2 linked regions of the Drosophila melanogaster genome follow. The protein of the gene in region 1 purifies or fractionates together with the protein of each later gene. This does not show direct contact. Each region holds a gene or a part of one and is shown in the gene's direction. Other genes may lie near its edges.

Region 1 (7,275 bases):
TTCGGCTACTTCAACTTCACCGCCGCCGAGGTGTCCTACAAGGCTGTCGAGGAGTCGGAGACGGTAAGTTATAGCTGAATGTGGGGGCATCAAATCTCAGTGTCCGCCCTGAAAAATCTTATCTAATCTCAGTGTTACAGAAGCCACCGCCAAAGCAAACCAAAATCATTCACTTTTAAATTTAATAATCTCAACTAAGTGAATTTATACACAACAGTCTTTTAAAAATGCCCGTTACCTGTTGAAAGATCGATCAAAGAACTTAATACCCAACAATTCTTGCAGCTCCAACTGGCGGTCAGCTCTGAGCCCGGTGAGGGTGGAATTGTCAACCTGAACGAGTACAACAAGCGCTTCTCCTCCCATTTCTTCGACTGGGTGGCCTTCGCCGTGATGACTCTGCCTTCCCTGGCCATTCCTCTGGCTCTGTGGCACCAGTCCAAGAGCAAATATGAGCGCTCTGGAAAGAACAAGAAGCACTAAGCTGCAGGACGGACGGTTTCCTCGCCACCACCAAGAGATTTCTTTGCAAAGACCCATTACAAATTCCGTATATTTTGTTGCTTTAGTTTCAAATTGATTCCATGCGTTGTTCATCTATTCAACCCACACATCTAATTTACTCCAGTCTGGGACTGTCGTCTGGAGACGGGCGTTAAATCGTTTTAGATTTGATTCGAGGGCGCATTGAGTAAAAAGTGAATAAAACAAGTCCATCAATGTTAAGCCTAGGCTGCTTTTCTAAATAAATTAAATAAAATATAAACTAGATTATTCATTGGTTTCGGGTCTTCTCAACTGTATAAGAAAGGGTAAAGTTATGCTTTTAAATTATTTCAAGTTTTATATTACACAATTACTTAATGGCTACAGGTTTTAACAAATTTATGATAACAAATACTTCCGACCAAAGATCTCCGACTTCTTCTCAAACATCGGAGATTTAATGGGTGTGTTGATGCGATAGAAGGCATTCATGGAGTTTTTGATATACGTGTCATACATCTCGTTAAAGAAGTTCTTGATTCCCTCGTCGTTTTTGTTGTCATGAACGATGATGAATCGTATTTGGCTGGCTGTGATGAAGGCCGAAACAAACCACTGATTGAATCTATCAATGGATTTCAGCTGCATATTGGCCGTCTTCCATTTGTGCTCATCCACCAAATCCAAGGCGGCATGGGCAATAAACTGGGTGAGGTGCCTGTGGTCCTCTTTCTGCAGAAGGAGAATGTATTTACACAGTTCTATGAGACGTTGCCCAGGTCTACATACCCTTAGTTCCTTGTTCACGGTGCTGAATTCCTTCTCGTAAATGGGATTATCATTTTGACCCACAATAACAAAGTAGTATGTGGACATTTTCACGAAAACCAAAACAGTGTAAAGGGCAGTGTGACCAAATCTGGAAAAGTTCCCATAATACCAAATCGAATCAGGTCATCTAAATTACCACCAACAGCTGCGGTAATTTAAATAGAAACAACATTTTATTTTTTAAGCGGGAATATTTAATAAAACTATAAAATACAATGTATAAAATTGTATAAAGAACAAATATAATTATAATTAATATAATATAAAATATAATTAAATATTAGGTGATTCCTACAAATGTATTTCATTCTGTTTTTGTTCTCTACTAATACACAACCTTATAATTATTCCGTTTAGTCTTGGTAATTATATTATTAATATAAAATCATTACTTCACAAAGTAAAAATAGAAATTTACAAACAAATTATTAAAAAGCATAAATGAGAGTGCAACAAATTAATTTCTGCCTGGCCGATCAGTGCTGGAAATAGTTACCCCTCCACTGTTTACCAACACCGTTTCTTCGCGCCTTTTTTCCCCCCAGCACATTGTGCTAACAATTTATACCTTAAGCAAACTTGTATAAAATGATATTTAACGCATAAAGTAGACACCGGAAAGTAATAACATATTGAGGCCCAAGTACCGTTAGAAAGAGGATCGCGATCAACGGGACACCAGTTCGATCGCGGCAGTGTGTGTGCGTGTGCGGGAGTGTAACAAATACGAAAAACGAAAAGTCGCTGCGAAGGTAGATCTCATTATTATTGTATTGTTGTCATGTTTTTGCTTTTGCCCCCGATCTTCATTTGCGATCTTTTGAGTTTGGCTTTCGTATTATCTGTAGATATATCAATTGCTTAAGTACTTAGATCTTACAAAAGAATACCACACCATACACAAACACACGCACACACTCAGCAAAATGCATTAAGCCTAAACCCAAAAAGAAAACAGCAAAAGAGACCCACAAAAATGACCGATGTAAATTGTCTTACAAGTGAGCACATTGCACCCACAACGACCACTGCGAGTCCACCAGGAACTCCCTCCAAAAATGCGGCCACGGATCCCGTCGAGCCCACATCTCCGTTCGTTCTGAGAGCACCGCCCAGCGCCAAATCCAAACTGATACTCCAGAACATGGAGGAAGTGCTGAACTCGGTGAAGCAGAAGCATCGGGAGAAGCACAAGCGAAAGCGGGAGGAGAAGCGCCGCGCAGCACTCATGGAGGACCAGAAGAGCACCACCGAGGAGGTCAAGGCGAATGCCAAAGAGAAACCGCAGCCACTTCGCGAGAAATCCTCCCAAGAAAACGGTCTCAAGAACGGTCGGCGGCGGTCCAGTCCGCTGAAGTCCAGCACTCCGGTGGCCGACAATCAGAGCATCATGAAGCACTTCGCCAAGGCGGGAAAGCCGGAGAACGTGGGTGTTTCTCCGGTGAGCACAGCCAAACCGAAGCCAACCACCAATGTCTTTGAGTTCATGATGAATGCTCGGAATCGCTCTCTGGGGGTTAATGAAGGTGGGGCAGAATCTCCCGCGGATCAAGAAATCGGCAGTGAGGCAGCAACGCCGACCACCAAACGGAAGCTTCTCCTCCAAGAATGGAACGAACGCAAGGGGGGAGCCAAGAGAAGACTAGCGGACGAAGCTCGCGGGGAGTTCATTGAGCTGCAGATGGAGCAAAGGGCAAAGAGGTGAGTTTGATTAAGAATTAGATTCAGAGCGCTATACAACATTTTATTTCCCTAGACTGCGAAAAATGCTGACCAAGACTGACGCCAAAGAGGTGACGGCTCCATCCTCGGCACCCACGGATCCAACAGTCAAGCGTCTAAGAGGTCGACCGCGCTCTCGACGAATCAGTTCCATGGATGCACAGAACCAAATTGTGGAATCGAAGCCCCCGGTCGTGAAAGCAAAAGATCAAGATCCAGGAACAGAGGAGCTTCTCTCGAAGCTTTCGTCGCCCACGAAAAAGCGTGACAGCCTGCTGGGCTACTTTCCCAAAGTGGAATCCCCGAAGGAGTTAGCTGAAAAGGTGATCATTGCGATAGAAACCCCACCCATGGAGACACCCAAGCGAAGAACACTGCGCAGAAAGAGCCAGCAAGAGACACCCATTGTAGCCGAATCCACTCCCTCGTCAAGACCAAGACGATCGTGTGTGGGCAAAGCGCGCTACGATTACGATCTGGAAACGAGTCCCGGCAAGCAACAAAAGGCGAAGCCCCAAAAGGCAGACGAGTCTGTAGAGATTATTGACCTAGACAATAGTAATCCAGCTGCCACACCAAAGAAACTAGCGCCGCTATTCGTCCGTCAATTGCCAAAGCCCAGCCCAGATCCGTCGGTTTTGAAGGCTCGACAGGCGTTTCTGCAATCCGGAGTTCCGGACAAAATTCGACAGGAGCAGATCCGTCAAAAGAACTTCGACCAGATGTACGAAGATAGCTATGAAGTGTTTCCCAGACTGGCGCATATAGGCTGCGAGAGCTTCGGTTCAAAAAACGGTCCTCTGGACATTCCCTTTGCTCTGAGGGCAGAAGAGGAATATTCCGAGGTTACGAAAGCGTTACCCGCCAACAAACGACGTGCCAAAGCGAGTAGCATCACCAGCTGTCTGCCCGCGGATTTTACATCCAGCAAAACTTTGAACAAGTTCAACTATGCAACTTTGCCACAGCTGGAAAATAAACGTGGCTTTGTGAAGCTCTGGAAGAATGATTTCGATCGGTTTCCCACCTTTAAGTGCTATAACCAGATGAGGGAGAAGTATCGCCACTTCAGCGCCATTGACAGTGCACAGGATACGCAGCAAATGGGAGAATCACTGGTGGTAACACGTCGCACTCGCCGTTCAATGGAGCAGAATATGGCACAGAACGAAGAGGAGGCGAAACCACCGCCTTCCGCTCCGAATGGCGAGCTGCTCTTTACGGAGAAGTACAAACCGCTGCTGTTCGAACAGGTTCTGGTGAATCTGACGCCAGTGCAGGAGCTTAGGGAGTTCCTGTCCAGCTGGAGTGGCAATGGAGGTAGCAATCGAAACTCGCAGGGCATGGATGACACCTTTGACATGAGCAATGATTCGGCATCAATGGGCTCAAGTAGCAACACGATGGTTCTGGTCGGACCTTCATCCAGCGGGAAGACCAATGCCGTTTTTACCTTAGCCAACGACATGAACTTTAATGTCTTGGAGATAAATGCAGGGATGAAGAGGACGGGCAAGAAGCTGATACAGGAACTTCAAGAGGCCACGCAGTCGCATCAGATAAGGAAAGATGGTAAAGCGGGTGGAGGATCCTCACAGCAGTTGCTTCAAAAGTTGCAAAAGAGTGGATTAAAAGCAAAAGCAGCCGCAGTGGAACCTCCTTCCGAAGTACGGAAGTCTCTGATCCTAATCGAGGATGCGGATATCTTGTTTGATAACTTGGACGCTGGATTTACGGATGCCATTTATACATTGGCCGCCAGTTCCAAGAGGCCGGTCATTGTGGTTGCCACGGATCCGAATTGCGCGCACTTGCAGCGCCTAATGCAGCAGAATATAATCCATTTCCAAGCTCCGAACGCATTGAACATCTCCCGATTCTTGGCCGTTTTATCGCTAATGGAAAACTGTCCCATCGAGTTGGACGAATTGATATCCGTGTATCTATACAATCAACAGAATCTGCGCAAGACGTTGATGGAACTTCAGTTCTACATTCAGAGTGGTGGAGATTCAACTCGCGATAGGACTGGCGGTGGGATTAAATCACCAACCAAAACCTCAAATAGCCGGCTGGCCACCGTCGATGGCAGTCGAATCCATCAGAGATTCTTTGAGTTCTTTACAAGCCCGCAGAATGTCCAGTATCGAATACCCTTTCCCGTTGACTTCAGCCTCTTGCGTTTGAATCTCCCCGATCTTATGGCTAGTTCGGCGATGCTAAAGGAGCAGCAGGCAGCGGGCGGTGGAAGTAGAACCGCTGCCAAGCGGAAGTCCCGCTCACCAAAGAAGGCCTGGCTGAGCAGCGCCACTGGGCAGAAGTCCGATGGGCACAGCTCATCGCTCGCCACATTGGCATCCTTCTATGACAACATTTCGGTGGCTTCGTTGATGGACTCCGACTGCAGTGATCGCTTGCAGTGGCACCTGTCCGAAGAAATCGGTCACCTGCTGGTGGAGCAGGCTCTCCAAACTGGACTCGCGACCAAGGAGTGCCCCTACAATCTATTTGATAAGCCGGTTCAGAGGTAAGATTTTCAAAATGATGAGTTACTCTTTAACTAAGCCAATATATAAACACTTTAATATCAAAAGATCTTTATTAACAATATCTATCTGTATCTATATCTATTTTGCTTTAAACACATTTTAAGGCTTAATAATGCTAACTTAATTAGCTGTCATGGCAGTAATCGATGGAAAAAGGAAACCGGGGTTTTGTTATCATCCAGCAGTCATAATAACAACTAGTCACAAGATATCTTTAGCGTTCGGAATTCTAATAGCCTTGTCATAAAAATGACCGATCTTATAACTATCTTAGGAACACACCTATTCATTAAATTAGTGCCCAGACTTTTCACTAATTAGATACCAAACTTATTTTAGTTATGCTTTAATTTTTTCATTTTTTATAACTTTCTGTAATCTTTCCAGGTTTTCAATTTGCCAGCACCTGGGCAACGGAGTTCTCCGTTCCGACTCCGCCAAATCGCTGGACTTCGAGCCCGCCCTGCGCTCCATATGCCGCAGCGAAAAGGAACGGGCAGGACTGGAACGGAAGTCGAGTAGATTCTATCACTATCTGCGCAACCACACGGTAAACGTGACCAGTTTCACGACGGATTACTTTGACACTGCATGCAGTACGTTCCAATCGGCTGCCCCCAGCAGCGAGCCAACCATGGAGGCCGAACCGAAAGATTAGGCATCGTTTGGATTTAGTTTAATTTTTTTGAAATTGGTGGAGCAGCTCCGCCGGCTTTGTTTGCAATTTATTCAGATCGTTTAAGAAGAGTTGATCTTTTTTAAGATAGCTTTGTGGACATGAAGATGTAGCTATTATGAGATAAACCTAGAACTATTTACAATTTAACTATGATAAACTAACTACGACCTCATCCTATGTTAATAAATCAATCAAATGACATGTAAACCTATGACTAGCAGCAACAGAAACCGGAGGAGCTATTCTTCGCGGGTTCGGGATCTTCGGATATTGTGTTTGCCGTCGGCTTTGCTGCACCATTGGACGTTGGCTGCACTTGAATGGGTGCAGCTGAGTTGATTTCTCCGATTTTGTAGTTCTTTAGATCCTTTTCTGCGTCGGAGGAATGGCCTGCCTGCTTGAAGGCCTTGGTGGCATCCTTGCCGCCATATTCGAGTAGTGCTTCACTGCCGCCAGGATGCTCGCCGAGGAACTTGGTTACATCGTACACGTTCCCCTTGATGATCAGCCAGCAGGGTTTGCCATTCTTGCCGTTCTGCTGGGCCACCTCCGAGAGTTCGTACAACTGTGACATATTGCTGATTTGATTTCCTAATTGCTTTCCGCTGTTCGCGAATGTCTTTTAATGGCTGCTGTTAATTTGCGTTTAATAAGTCGCGCTCTTGATTCGATAATTTTAGGAGCTGTTAACCGTTGGACGGACTCGGAAACACTGGACGCGTGCCAAGGGGCGACCCTTGCTTATGTTTAACATTTATCAATAGTTCAAACAATCGCCTAGATCGCTTGTACTTGCCTTGTACCTGTTCTCCCCCATTTCCCCCTCGACGGGCAATTACTATTTGCTGTTTTATTTCAGTTATTTCCACAATCTGTCTGCATTGTGGTTGATAAGAAATACGTGAGAATTTCACCGTCTTTCAAGGCGACCTGCTACTAGTGTGGGCAGTGACCAATCTCCTTTTTTTGGGTGGGATTTGTGCAAATCATTAATGCAAATGGATGGCG
Region 2 (3,647 bases), about 11 Mb from region 1:
TTTTTGATCCCCCAACTAAACCCATTCAGAATTAGTGCAATGCGCACATCTGGTTCTTAAATTTAATTAAAAATATGCTACTTGAAAATATTGCTCTTGCTGAACGTTTCATCTTGCAGTTTTCGCTATCTGCCCAAAATGAAGCAGACTCATTTTCACTCGCTTGGCGTTGGGAAAGCGCCGGCTCGGCCTATGTATGCTATATGTGAAATTCTCGGAAAAGTCGAAAACACACTAAGCGGAGTGCAACAACAACGTCATCGTTGCAAGCATTGAACTCGATTTTGTTTTCATTGCCGCCTGAATTTCTAAAACGCAGCTAATTAGTCGAGAGTGTTTGTGTTGCTGCTGCTGCCGCAGTTGTTGCACTTGCAACACTGCTGCTTCTTTAGCTGTGTTCCACTTTTCTGGCAGTTTTCCACTTTTCCACCGGCCAATGCTGCGACTGCTGCAGATTTCACACGCGGCCAGGCAATTCATCATAAAAATTATAGTAAGCTGCCATCCAATGGCAGCACTGACCAAAAACAGTTGCAGTAAGCAACAAACTAAAAACTAAGTTAAAAAATATATGTATATTAATAAAAATGTATCGAAGAAGTTACAAATACATTAAGAAGTAACTAACTAACGTATCTTTATTGACAGCCACAATAAACTTCTAAATATTTTTCCCAGTGTAAACCAGAAGAAGGTGGCTTAAGACGATCGAACGTCAGAGTTTTCAGTTGGCAGATGTTTGCTTAAAACCAAATATAAATAAGTTTTTCCAAGTCTAAGTCCAGGCCGCGCCTTGTGTGTTTGTTTAAATAAAATGAAAGTTTTTTTGCTGCACTTTTTGTTGTTTCGCGAATAAGCGCGCGCCAATGTTTGACATACATTGAATAGACTGCAGTCTGTCAGTCAGTCGGTCACTTAGCCACTGAGCCAGTTAGTCACCTAGTCACTAAGTCGATTGTGTTAGTGGAACACGACGGAATGGCAGACTTTGCTTTAGTCAGCGACTTGCAACGGTCGTTGCCGTTTCGCTTTTGCTGCCCGCTGCATTATGATTTCATTTTCTAATCGAGTTCGTCTTCATCCGCAGCCTCACTTTATATTGCTTTCCTATAGTCAGCGCGAAAGGCGATGTGCTGCAGAAATAAAATCACGCATACGCCGCGTATGACGAAAGTGAAATAGGCGCGACGACGAAGGCCCATAAAAAGCGGTAGCCAAAATAGAGCCAAGTAAAAGAGAAAGAGTAGGCGGCAAGAGAGCGAAAGGCGGAAAAAGAGGAAAGAGGGTTCGGAAAGAAATAGAGAGCTAGAACGGTAGCTTCACTTTTTTTCGGCAGTTCAACAAACTTTGAAACGAACTTGGGTCAACAAACTATGCAAGACCCACGGGGAGATCATTAGAAGATCACCATCAAAAAGACGATGATGATGGCGCTACAGCTGAACTGAATCTTTTGTCCGTGGTATACGCATAAATAAAAATAACAAGACGAGAGGTCAATGGCAGCCACACTGGCTTCAAAATGCAAAGTGGTGAAGGGGCAAGCACTGTTAAATAAAATCTAAGAAAATGTGAAAAAAAACATATGGATCTAATAAGAAAAATCTTACAAAAATAAATGGTCATCAAGTTTTGTAACTGAGTTCTTTGACCAGTTTTTTTTTTTCCTGGGCTATTTTTTGATTTCGGCAGTCCTATTCACTTACAAAAGTGAATAAATGCAGTATTAACAAACTTTCAATGGATTTATTATGAAATAACTTTGAATTTTAAGTGCAGAAACTAACATTTAAAGAATCTATAAAACATATACACAAATAATATAAGACTTATTCATTCAAACTAATAGTTTATAAATTAGCTTGTTAAAGAAAAACGACAACGCCACCTATGCAATTAGGTTAAGAACTAGCATGCATATTTCAGCAAAGACATAAACCGATAGTCGGAACAGATATCCGTAAATCGATTAATTGTAATTACTTTTTATCAATATCCGGTCACATTGTCCAAAACAAAATATAAATTTGTTGAAATTCGAGCATTTTCTGAAAATATGAGCTCGCCAACGAGTAAAAATGTCAGCGAAACGAACGGGAACAAGCCAAAGAAGTCGGCCAAAACGAGCTCGAATACGAAAGGCGGCTCCATGGACACTCGCGCCGAGTTGGCGGACCTCATCAAGAAGAAGGCCGAAACATCGGTGAGACACAATATAAACAAACCCGAAATCGCAGCACTTTATCATTTTTTTGTTGCATAAATGACAGGAACAACTGGCCAATCTGGAGCGACAGATCTACGCCTTCGAGGGCTCCTACCTAGAGGACACGCAGTTGTGCGGAAACATCATCCGAGGCTGGGAGCGCTATCTGACCTCCAACAAGGCCACCAACTCCAAGGCCGACAAGCGGAATCGCAAGTTCAAGGAGGCCGAGCGCCTGTTCTCCAAGTCCAGCATCACCTCCATGGCTATATGCAATCGTAAGTGGGGGATAATTCATACTGTGTCATTCGCTTGTGTAATCGATCTAGGCTTTATGCCCAGAAGGGTGTAAATTGATACGCTTTAGTTGCCATACATGAGTATGTTTATTCGCCTTTAGCTGAGCGCGCCAGCGAATCGGATTCCATCACAAATGAAGACTCCAGCGACAATCAGATCTCAATCAATCAGAACACCACAACGGCCCACGACGGAACCACGACAATCAAGAGCACACCGAAAGACGAAAAGGGTAAGGCAGCACAGCACATTGAGATTCAACTTTAGCGCTTTTCTCCAGAAAAGTATATATGTTTAATTACACCTTTTTATTTACAGATTCACCCTCGCATCGCAATGAGGGCAGCGTAGTGAGCGGAATGGTGTCTGGATCTACGAACAGTGGAGGGAACAAGGATCTCCTCGGCACACCCACTTCGAATACAAAGAGCAAACTATCCACGAACTCCAGTGCGACAGCGAAGAAAAGCGGTCACATAAACAAGAAGATTCGACATCGATGATAACTGCTACCGTGTAATCCGCATCTGATAAAGCACTATTTACCTTCAAAGTTTTTAAATTAAAATTTGTACATGAAATAAAGCGAATGTAGATTTACAAACTTAGTTTATTTCCATACAAATGTCTTCTTTCTACATTTATCACTTCAATATTTAAAGGCAACTACTTTCAGCATCGCGTCATACTTTTGACTCATAGTTTTGATAGACATACAGGGTTTTTCCTCGGCTCAAAGTTAAGTTTGCAATAGTTTGATTAGGAAATGATGAGTAAAATATATTGTGGCACACTATAGTCGATTTTCTATAGTCGATGCACGTCATATAAAGAAAAATATTCATACATTTTGTGATTAAATGAATTCTATATAGAATGTAGAATGAAGTGAAATATATTCATACATTTTGTGAGAAAAAAAGTTATACTTTACTATTAAATTGATTAATTCGAAGAGAAGAAAATACTATGTCATGTTAAAATGCCTTTTTGTTTGAGAAATGGATTCAATCGTACTTTGAGTTGCAGATCTACTAAAGGCTCTCTGTTTGGGAAATATTCTGAAAAGAGACATTTTAGGGAACTGGTTACCCGAACTATGAACTATAAGACTTACTGTTTCTTGAATAGTACAAGAGTT

Evidence for each region.
Region 2: the proteins of elg1 (region 1) and Eaf6 purify together in Drosophila melanogaster (affinity purification with mass spectrometry, with the first as the bait; one large-scale study listed by BioGRID). This does not show direct contact.

Annotation. Positions count from the first base shown.
Region 1 is NT_037436.4:16,130,221-16,137,495, forward strand, and holds elg1 (enhanced level of genomic instability 1), read left to right. Parts: upstream 1-1,807; 5' UTR 1,808-2,293; coding exon 2,294-3,018; intron 3,019-3,073; coding exon 3,074-5,566; intron 5,567-5,975; coding exon 5,976-6,246; 3' UTR 6,247-6,471; downstream 6,472-7,275. Other genes in the region: SsRbeta (signal sequence receptor beta), read left to right, coding at 1-63, 286-483; Trs20 (TRAPP subunit 20), read right to left, coding at 886-1,218, 1,276-1,362; CG5157 (uncharacterized protein), read right to left, coding at 6,482-6,841. UniProt on the Drosophila melanogaster protein: Has an important role in DNA replication and in maintaining genome integrity during replication stress. Promotes PCNA deubiquitination.
Region 2 is NT_037436.4:5,606,643-5,610,289, reverse strand, and holds Eaf6 (Esa1-associated factor 6), read left to right. Parts: upstream 1-1,989; 5' UTR 1,990-2,056; coding exon 2,057-2,203; intron 2,204-2,270; coding exon 2,271-2,484; intron 2,485-2,606; coding exon 2,607-2,738; intron 2,739-2,824; coding exon 2,825-3,009; 3' UTR 3,010-3,128; downstream 3,129-3,647. Other genes in the region: mthl2 (methuselah-like 2), read right to left, coding at 3,474-3,567, 3,624-3,647. UniProt on the Drosophila melanogaster protein: Component of the Enok complex which has a histone H3 acetyltransferase activity. Might be involved in transcriptional activation of selected genes.